2 linked regions of the Caenorhabditis elegans genome follow. The protein of the gene in region 2 purifies or fractionates together with the protein of the main gene of each other region. This does not show direct contact. Each region holds a gene or a part of one and is shown on either strand. Other genes may lie near its edges.

Region 1 (3,232 bases), on a different chromosome or scaffold from region 2:
GTCATTTGCTGGTAAGATTGATGGAGAAGCTGAAATAATGTGAGGTCCAACATTATTACAGTAATCATCAGGTTCAATAGATTAAATGCATTTTGATAGGTTTCGGGTCAAGCAATCTGATCAATGATCCATCATGTAGTTGCCAGTTACAGTAATCCTGAAAGTGCAAAATTATCCGGGGTGTATGTTCAATGTCGGCTTCACAACCACCTATCGTATTTCATCGTTTTGTATTGTACCCCATTGTTCAATTTTGTCAGCTTATATCTCACTTTTTCTATACAAAAATGTCCACTAACAAAATATTTGTTATTCCTTTTTCTATTTATTTGGATTGTGATCAATAAAATGTATTTGCAATATTTTCATGAAACCTGTTGAAAGAAGAAAAAACGTTCGAAGAAAATTAGAAGGAAGTTAAATCAAGTTAAAATTGTTAGAATGTGTCGATATACTTTCTAATTTTTCTGATCTAAAAACCCAATTCTTTGAAACTGCAAACAACCGGGGATGAAAAAAAAATCATCTACTAAAAAATTTATTTCATTGAAAATGATACTAGTTCTTATTCGGCGGCTTTCTCCACAACTCAATCAACTTTTTCAATCCATCGTACATCTGACGAACGGCTTGATACTCAGTAAGTCCAAGGCGTTGCTTGTTCGAGATGTCATAGATTCCTTCCTTCAAATCCGAATATTCTCCGTGAATTCCACGAATCTGAAAAACTCACTGTAATTTGCTGAAAAGAAACTTGAAAAATACCTGAAGCTTCATCTCACTGCAAATCTTCTTGAAGTCGTCCTTTGCCGAAATCTTTGGTAACTTAATGTGAACCGATGATTTCAAAGACGTTCTTGAACAAAAAAAATCTACATGATCAAATGTTTTATTTTGAAATGTAGACAATTACATATATGGCCAATATCTTGATTGTTGAAAATTACTTGCTAGAACCTCTAGTTTTTGAATTATACTCATCGAAAATCTATAGAAATAAAAAAACCAAAAAGCGACCGTGCGTGCCTACCTTCTGCCTGCCTTCTTGCCTACAATGCCTATTTTCTCGTATAAGTACAGGTAACTTGGTGAAAGCTCAATTAAGACAAAACATTTCAAAAAAAATCCTTTGTTACTTTAATGCACGAGCGGTCACTGTTGTACCTAAGTGAAATTCAGTGCATTTTTCTACTAGAACGCCCACAGTGAATATGAGATTTTTTGAGTAATGGATTTTTTGAATCTAGAAATTCATAGAAAAAATTCGTTTTTTTTTTCAGGAAAGCATCTGAAATTTCAGATCTTTGCGTTACAACAACTGAAAATTATGAGAGTTTCAGAAAATACAATTTTCCAATTGAAAATATATAAATTTCACTAAATAATAAATCTAAATTAAAGGTATTTTATCCCGTCTAATAACATTATCATTAGAATATCTAAGCTATTTCAAATCAGTGATGTTAATGATATCTCCTTATTGTCCTTCCAAACGACCCGATGAACCTAAACCGATTTTCTCGTTTTTATCTCTCTCTCTGTTTGTTTTTTGTACTTTCCCTCTCATTTATTGAAAAGTGAAAGTTCTCGAAGGACACTGACACTCTCAGCAAAACGTTCTGATATTGTTAAAATTGATTAAAAAAATGATAACATACTGAACGGTTCCTTCGTTCAAAAAATCAATTTTAAAATCTTCCTGGTTCAACATTTTCAGGTTGTGTAAATCGCGATTTTTTGTAAGATTGGTAGCGTTTGAAACGCTAAAACCTCAAAAATTGGCAGCTATGGGTGTCGAAATGAGGGAAAGATGAACATGGGTGATTTCGTTCCGTTTGAAGAATAAAAAGCGAAAAAAGAGACGATCACAAATCGCGCTCATTGATTTACTGGCCGCTAAGCGAGATGTGACTAGCAACATTTTAAAGAGAGAGAGAGAGAGGGGATTGGATTGATAGAGTTGCTTTCTTAGGTACGTGAGAAATTTTAAGGAACAAGTGCAAGCTTGAGATAAGATTCTAGAGATTCTAAAGATTCTACAGAAGACACAAACGTTTCGAGCTGCCGGAACTAGTTTAATAGGGATTATGTTTAAAACTCAAAAAATACAGAAGAACGAAATGGCATAATAAAATACATACGTTTTAGATTCTTGAAAATTTCCAGTTAAAGTTTTGGAAAGTTTTTAGTCACAGTTTTGGTTAATAAATCAATTAACCAACACTTTGTGCTCACTGAAAAATTTAAAGCAATTTTACATGCTTTAACACCTACAGTTTACTAATCCAAGTAATTCGAAAAAAATTAGAGTATATGTACAACTCGTAGAAAAACTAGTTTTTTTAATAGGCTTCCAAACTTATGAGTGGTGACATTGAGTAATCTAGACTTTATCACTGCAAATAGAAAATTAATTGTTTATTTTAGAACCATTGGAATGATTTTCTACAAGTTCCGGCTCTTCTCCCCTTTGAAACTTTGCGGTTTCGCATAAGGCGGTGCTCGTACGTATTTCGGTCTAGATTGATCTCGCTATAAAATAGTTGACGAACTTTAGATTGAAGTATATTTATTTTTGCATTTTTTATTCAATTGGCATTTTTTCTAAAACATAATTTTTATGACAAGAAAAACTTGGAAATATTCCAGGCAATTCAGACAATAGCTCAATCGGACCCTTTTTTGAAATTTTGTACCTCCATAATAAACTTTAGCGAACAACTGGAGCTTCTAAATTTTCAGATAAAAATTTCCACATTCGCAGAAATCGGGCGTTGAAAAAAGTTACAGATTCCGGAAGATCAAGAAGTCAGTACTAGTTCCTTACTATTTTAAACATTTCTAGTAAATAGTATCTCTATTCCAACTTGCTAGAAACTGAAATCATAATTTTTAACAATCAAAATGTTGTCTTTTGCAGATCCGAATACGTGTAATGTTCAATTACAACATTCGTTAAGTGTCTAGATATTTCAGAAATATCTGTACACAAACCTGAAAGGTTGCCAAAAATTGCCAAAAGTAGTGCCAGCTTGTAATTTTTCGGAGAATTCAAGACAAGCTTAAACTATATATCAAGGCTAACTAACTAACCCAACGAGTAGGTGTTTTGTTTAAAATTTTCAATATGGGTTTTTACAAAAACTAGCCTAAATTCTTTGTCGATATAAAAACAGGATAGATACTAAAAAATATGTTATATTTCAAGTGGGCACAACTGTAAAAATTGACA
Region 2 (7,592 bases):
TCATCCATCGGATTTCCAAGGCTGAATATTTGGGTTATCTGTTCTTTTCTCTCTCGCTCACCTTTCTTACCTGTGTCCAACATTTGCATTTTCTCTTGTGTGTTGAAATTCGGGAACACACAGTGATGACTGACGAGAACGGAAGGATGATGGGAGGAGGAGGAACTGCTGGAGAATTCGAAGAAGAAGGCGCGGCCAACCGAAATGAACAATTCGCACAATAATACCGATAGCTTCCAATTATGACATTTCCTTTCATTTGTTTCCATCCTTTTCCAATGCGCTTTACATATTCTCATTTACGCATGTTTTTCTGGTTGTTAACAAGATGTTTTCATTTTAGATTTGAGAAGCTTTACAGCAATTAAACTTCCCAACTAGCGTCGAAGTTATTTAAACATTTTCAGTTTTACACAGCCTTTCCGAATTGTTTTTTCTTATTCTTTTTTTTAAATTAAAACACAGTTCTGAATTGAAAAAGCTCGTTGTACATAGTTAAAGTCGATGCACCATGTTTCAAAAACTAGACTTGATTCAAGACTCCACCGGTTTTGCTAAGTTTGACAAAACACTTGCCAATATTTTAAAGAAAATCATAGCAAAGCTTGTCAAACATTTTCTGAAATTTCTTAATTTTCAGTCAAAAAATGGTAAACGCTCAGTTTTGATCTCTGATCGTCCTGGAAGCCATACAAAAAATTCTACGATTTCATATTTTTTAAATTGCGTTTCAACTGTTTTTTAAAAGTTATCTTAGGTGTTTGCTTCTGCTGCGATGTTCAATATTCGAAACTCAATAAATGCAAAATTGAAAAATTTAGCAATTTACCGAAATTTTGACTTTTGAAAATTATATGGGCTTTTGGTGCTTTCAAACATTGTCCAGTGTAAAATTGAATGGCTCATGCTTATCTTAAGTTAAAATAAGAATTGAAAGGAAAGTCGACGTTTCAATAGTTTTTTATACAAAAAATCCATAGGCTTGAATATTTGTTGAACTATTCTGAATGACCACTCCACCTGAACAAATCCGATTACCATATATCTCAATAGATTAAGTTTCTAACAATGTGTGACAAATCTCGATTCTCAGCTTCTTCTTCTTCGCCAACTTTCTCTACACTTCTTCTTTTTGCCGCTCCATCTCCCTGTCAATCCGTACCACATTAGCCTTGCTGCGTCTCTACGCTTCTCAATGATCCATTATTGAACCTTAAGCCTAATTTGAACGCGCGCCAAACCAATCCACTGGGTGCCGCGCCCCCTTACCGATTCTGGTTCTTCAAGCTTCCTTTTTTCCAAAACTACTTTTCTATTATGCTTCATCGTTACGCCCCATCTTTTATTTTGACCTCCACTAGTCATCGTCACATCGTTTATACTTTTTACAGATTTTATCCAGTATAAAAATTTAGATACCGTATTTCCTCTATTAGTGTTGCACCAGACTACTTCATTTAAAAGGTTATTTCATGGTTCATTTTAAATTGGCTCCATCAAATTGAATTAATTCTACTTGTAATTGAATACTTTTCTCATTTTCCAGTGTTCTTCAATAAAAAAATTTAATTTCTTTAATTTCTTTCAGCCTCAAAATCAGAATGCGTTGGGTGTTGCTAGTATGGCTTTTAGCAGCCATGGCGACGTCAGCTGTTCAATCAGCTGCATGCCCTCCGAACACATTTACGTGTGCCGATGGAAGTTGCATTCCATCAGATTGGAAAGGAGATGGTGAGAAAGATTGTGAAGATGGATCAGATGAAGAAGCGGTTACCGGTGAGACAACAACAAAGTTTGATGAAGTCGTCAGTGCACCGACAACACCTGGATCAGATGAAGATTGTGATTGGGGAATGCAACAGAGAATTGATAACTGCTCTGAGCCAATTGTACACTTTTTAAGTCAAATTGAAAGATTGAACTTGAAGAATATGTCATTCCTGACGTCATCGGAAATGTGAGATTTTTTTAAACCTGAAATTCTCTTAAATGTGCACTGTCATTCCACGGTTGATTTTGCGATGTGTCCATCAGGAACCTCGCAGCATTAGAGAAACTCGAAACAGCCAGGAATCGGGCGGGGCTTAATTTTGGAAATTTGGCAACGGAGAAGAAAATCTCCGAACAAAATTTGATTGCATAAAAAAACATGCACAAAATGTCCAGCGAAAAACTGCCTCTGAAATTTTTCTCTCTGTTCTCCGAATTGTTTTAAAGCTAAACTAATAGTAAGCCAATTTTTCAATTGGTAAAACAATTAAATTTTAATATTCGAAAACTCGGGCACCCTCAAAATTGAGTTAGGAGCTTTTTCTACAAATTGGCTGGTTTTAACTATTGTAGACAAGCTTCAGAAAGATCGGAAGTGAAAATCAAAGATAAGGCCGAGGGTTTGCTTTTTCTAGATCACGCTCTATGCTTGAACCTCTGAAAGTACCATATGGCTTTGTTGAGAAGCTGAAACTGTTCACTTTTCAAAACAATCCATCATTTCATAATTCTTCAAATCTATCAATTTCACTTTTTTCCAGTCAATCGCGATTCGAAGCCGGATGTAATCTAATGACAACCTACCAAGAATGTGTTGGAAATCAGAAGGGATGTATGCCAGATGAAGGTGTTCATTCATGGGGAGAAGTTGAAGTTTTTATGTGTCAATTGGTTCTTCCATCAGTTAAAGAACATGCTGGATGCTTCAAATCATCTGCTGATCCAAGATGTGATGCTAGGTGGTTCTGAATATTTGTATAGTTTTATATTTCTTTGTTTCAGCAAGACATCATCATCTTCCACTCTCTGCGGCCTTGTCACCTCAATTCAAACTGCCACATCTTGTTTAGAAACCATTCGCCCGGAAACTTGCTCCTCCGATGCTATTGAGATGCTCAGTCCAATCAGAGAAGAGACTGAACACATCGTGTCAGCCATTAGATGTGTGGTAAGAATGAACACTTAGTCTTTCAATTCAACATAATAAGCTTTTAGACACCTGAACAGCATGCATCAAGCACTACTCTAATTGTCGATGAGACAACTGAATCAACATCGGCATCCGCTGAAGATGATGATGATGATGTATTGACAACAAACACTTCTGAAGAATCAACAGCAACTACTGCTCATGATGAAGAGGTTGAGAATAAACCAGCTCTTAATATCAATATGGCTGATGCTGTCAATTCCCTATATTACATTTATGATATCTGCTCTGCCAATTATTCTGCTGATCCATTTGCAGCTATTGCTGATAAAATCTGTGCAAAGCAGGATGAAATTGCAAAATGGTCTAATTGTTATCAGAAGACATTGGAGAAGGAGAAATGTGCAATCAGAAATGCCACTTCTAAATGTGAGGCATTGATTTCTTATAATAACAATTTGGATTGTGCCATTGTTACCATGAATGATGAATGTGAAGTTGATGCTCAAAATCTTGTTGTAGAACTTCAAGAAGAAGTTAATGATCTCATCATTGCTGGAAAATGCTTTGAAGATAAGAAAGAAGAAGAAAAGGAACCAGTCAATGATGGTGACTTCCATCTCCAATCAACTCTTCCAAAATGTACTGAAGAGCAAGAAAACGGAGCACTTGGATGTCTTGTTGAACTTGTTGAGATTAACAAAAAGCTCACAGCATTTGCAAATCTTAACTTCCTTTTGGAAATCGCCAGTCCAAACTCGACGGTTGTCGAAGGAATTTGCTCATTATTTGCTCGTTACGAACAATGTCTATCTGCAACTGTATTCAAAAATTCTCAACGCTGCTCGTTTGCTTCTCCACTCAATTCACTCGCCAGAATCGGTCTCGCACCAATCTGTTCCCTGGATTCCCGACCATTGTTGTCAAAGCACAGAGATTGTTTCGAGAAGCTTGCCACAGAAGCTGATGAAGATACAAATTGCCAATCATCTCTTTCAACTCTCTCAAATACAGTTCAAATGATGCTTCAGGGAGTTCACGGAGAAGCTCTTCTATGTAAATCTTTCTACACAATCAGAGATACTTTCACTTGTGGAGAAAGAGCTGTTAAGAACAAATGTGAAGCTGATGCATTGACTGATTTGCTTAGTTTGAAGACCAAGGTTAGTTGTGAACTTTGATTCTTTTTGTTTTAGTTGTGATTTTCGGGAAAGATGACGCCAAACTAGTTTATGAGTCATCAACAGCTTTTCGCATTCAGCCAATGTGAGGGATGGGCAGGAGAACAGATTTAGAGAACGGGTTCATAGTTCAACAATAGTTTTTGACCGTTAACGATGGATTAGTGATATTGGGGATTTTGTCAAAATACACTGAAAACCCAAATAAAACGTTTTGTAATGTTTAATTTTCTTCAAAATGTGCAATCAAAGTTATGGCAAGTTACCGTTTTTTTTTAATTTTCGTAATGAAACACCTCAAAAGTTTTTAGATTTTCCACTCAAAATTTTGGTAAATTGCCAATTTTTTTTGAAAATTTTGGACTTTTTAAGTAATTGCTGCCGGTTTGAACTTCTAAGACGTTTCATTATAAAACATTAAAAAATTAAAAATGACCGTAAAAAATAAATAATTTTCCCAAATTTTTTAGCATTGCCCATATAAGAATTCTTTTAACAAGGATTATTTTCTCCACGTTTATTACCTTTTAGCTTGAGAACTGAAAAAAGTTAACATGTTTTTCTAGTGAGATTCTTAAATACCAGTTGCTACATATACTGAACATCTTAAAACCGATCCAATTTTTACAACATTCTAAATCTTATTCTGACTCTCAATTCAAGTAAAAACTTGAACCGGTTCATGTTGTACTAGTTGTTCCCATTGTTATAGTTGAAGTAATTATTCAATCAAAAAACAACCTATTTCGCTTATCAATCATTATGATGATTCTGGTTTGATTGTAGTTATGTTGTCATGAATAACAACATACATATATATGAGGGCAAAGATAACTTCAAAAAATTCACTATCTCTGAATAAAACTATATTGTAAAAAAATATAACTTTCAGATGACATCCCTCGGAGAAGAAGAAGGTTGTCCAAGAGATCCACCAGCAAATCTTGATGAAATTATTTCTCGTCCAGTTGCTCGTCCAACGCCAGTTACCATGCCACCAAGAGCACCAACTGCCAAGCCACTTCCAATCCCATCTGCACCAACTCCTCCAGTTGCTTCATCCAAGTGTTCTATTGAAGATCAAAAGAAGTTTGAGGAATGTGTGAAGCCTCTTACTTCATTCCAGCCACATCCACTTTCAGTCATCGCAATTCCAAGAGATATTGATCAGGCATGTGAGGCATTCCATACGTTTAAGGCATGTTCTGCAGAGAGTAACTGTCATCCATTATGGGCTCGTGGAATGAGTGCAATGTTTGAGTATGCTTGTAATGAAGCAAATGAGCAATTCAAAAAGGTTCGAAAGTGTATTCGTGAAACATCAATGATTGAAGAAGTTCGTTCATGTGTCTCTGACTTCTCCCGAGGAGCACCAACAGCCGCTTGCATGTCCTCCAACCGTCTTCATTCATGTGCAATCCCACAAATTCAAGGAAAATGCGGTCAAGATGCTGCTGATTGGGTATCAAATTACATTATCAGATTTGCTAATGCTATTGATGTCCGATGCAAGGTTGGAAGACAACTTCCAGTGGGAAGAGTTGTTGGAATTGGATGTTCCGCTGAAGAGGAATCAATTATTGAACACTGTGCAGCTCCACTCAATGATATTGGGTCTCGAGTGGAAGAGTTGTTCGCAGGAGGAATGCAGTCACTTATCAAGAATATCAATTCACTTGCTCCAGTGTTTGCAGGAGCTTGTAACTTGACTGATGAATTCAAAACCTGTGCTCATTTCCTTCTCGAAGGACGTACGTCATGTGTCGTCTCATCTTGCATGGTTGAGGCTGGAAGAGGAATCTGTCAATTGTCCGATCCAGCTAAAGCAATCGATGACAATCTCTCTTGCCTTTTCGGTCAAGCTCAAGAACCAAAGTTTGCTCAATGTATAAGATCAACCATCTCTACTTTGAAACAATTCAACTTGTCAACTTTGAGAGCAGTTCTTCCAAAATTCATTGATTGTACAAGAGACATTGTTGTGGCTAAATGTGGAGAGAGCCCAATTAAGATTATGAAAGCAATGAGCACTCCAGATATTTGCCCAATTCGTCCACATCAAGCTCCAATTGTTCCAATTAATCAACCAGCAAGAGTCACTCCAACTCTTGAAACTGTTCTTTCATCATCCACAATGGTTTCAACTTCTTCTGAATCTGACTCTGAATCTGCGCCGGAACAAGAAACAGAACCAACTGTTCCATCTACAACCGAAACAACCGAATCCCCATCAACTCCAACTGATGGATGTGGAGAATCTGGACTTGTTGAATATCTTCAATGTGAAACACATCTTGATCAATTCGCTTTCCGTCCAATTTCTATCATCGGAGATGCTTCTAAATGGGATCAATTCTGTCAAATGGCTAATCAAACATACATTCCATGTGTTGAAGGACTCAAGTGTAAATATGAGCCAGCTGCATCTGCTCAAATTGGTCTCATTGACTCGATTTGTAACAGAAAGATCACTCTCAAAGATCAGAAACAACACGGTATGTGCCTCTCGGAGTACACCAAATCCGATGCTGGAGTTGCTTGCATTTCTGATTTTGGAAAGATTGATCAATTGGATAGCAGTTCTCCAGCACAAATGTGTGATGGGTGAGTTCTAAAATAAATAGTTTTAAAATTATAAACATGTTTACAGAATCAACCAGGTAATGAGATGTTCAACTAGTGAAATCGAGAAGAGATGCGGATTTGACGCTGTTTTGCATGTCTTCAGTATTCATATGCACTGGGCTAATCTATTCAATGCTTCTTGTATATTGGAGTCTCCAGAGCCAACGAAGGATTCTACGGTCAGAATTTTATTAGCTTTTAAATTTGATAGCAAACATTTTACGACGTAAATTTCGCTACTCAACCTAGCTGTTTCATAAAAAAGATCAACTCTAATCTATATTTATTTCAGAGCATTGATGTCAATGAAGTAGAACCATCTCGGGATCAGAAGCCAGTAGTTGTAACAAAGGATGAGACAACACCAGTATCAATCACAACTGCTATGAATAATGATATCACAGAATCAGAAACGACACAAAGTCCTCCAGTTCAATCTTCTGTATCATTCCACATTATTCTGGCAGCACTTATTCCATTTTTTGCCCTTTTCTAGGTGCTTTCTTGCTCCATTCTCACCGTTGATTGTGATGTCATTGCACATCGATTTATTTCTCATACTGGTCAATTTTCATTGTTTTTTTTTAATATTCTTTGTTCAACTATTTTATCTTCATAATTTCCCCAAAATGCTCCACTTCTTCCCAAACCTTTTTACAGATCTTCTGCAGGGTTTCTTAACCTTTTTTCTTCTCTACTTTTAATCACATTTTCGCCAACTTCCACGTGTATACGGTGTGCTACATTATTTGATAGGCTTGAAGCCTGCATTTGTATACTTATGATGTAATAAATTATTGAAACTTTTAAAAAGTGTGAAATCTTAATGTTTATAATGTTTTTAAAATTGTTTTTTTAGCGCGCTT

What was found. The genes of interacting proteins can lie anywhere in the genome.
Region 1: the proteins of F44E2.4 (region 2) and F11G11.13 fractionate together in Caenorhabditis elegans (co-fractionation; one large-scale study listed by BioGRID). This does not show direct contact.

Annotation. Positions count from the first base shown.
Region 1 is NC_003280.10:4,874,722-4,877,953, forward strand, and holds F11G11.13 (arginine kinase), read right to left. Parts: upstream 1,459-3,232; 5' UTR 778-1,458; coding exon 766-777; intron 721-765; coding exon 559-720; 3' UTR 523-558; downstream 1-522. Other genes in the region: F11G11.15 (Ovule protein), read left to right, coding at 124-381.
Region 2 is NC_003281.10:8,832,421-8,840,012, reverse strand, and holds F44E2.4 (LDL receptor domain-containing protein), read left to right. Parts: upstream 1-1,588; 5' UTR 1,589-1,637; coding exon 1,638-1,957; intron 1,958-2,531; coding exon 2,532-2,729; intron 2,730-2,772; coding exon 2,773-2,938; intron 2,939-2,985; coding exon 2,986-4,083; intron 4,084-4,993; coding exon 4,994-6,705; intron 6,706-6,751; coding exon 6,752-6,905; intron 6,906-7,018; coding exon 7,019-7,222; 3' UTR 7,223-7,533; downstream 7,534-7,592.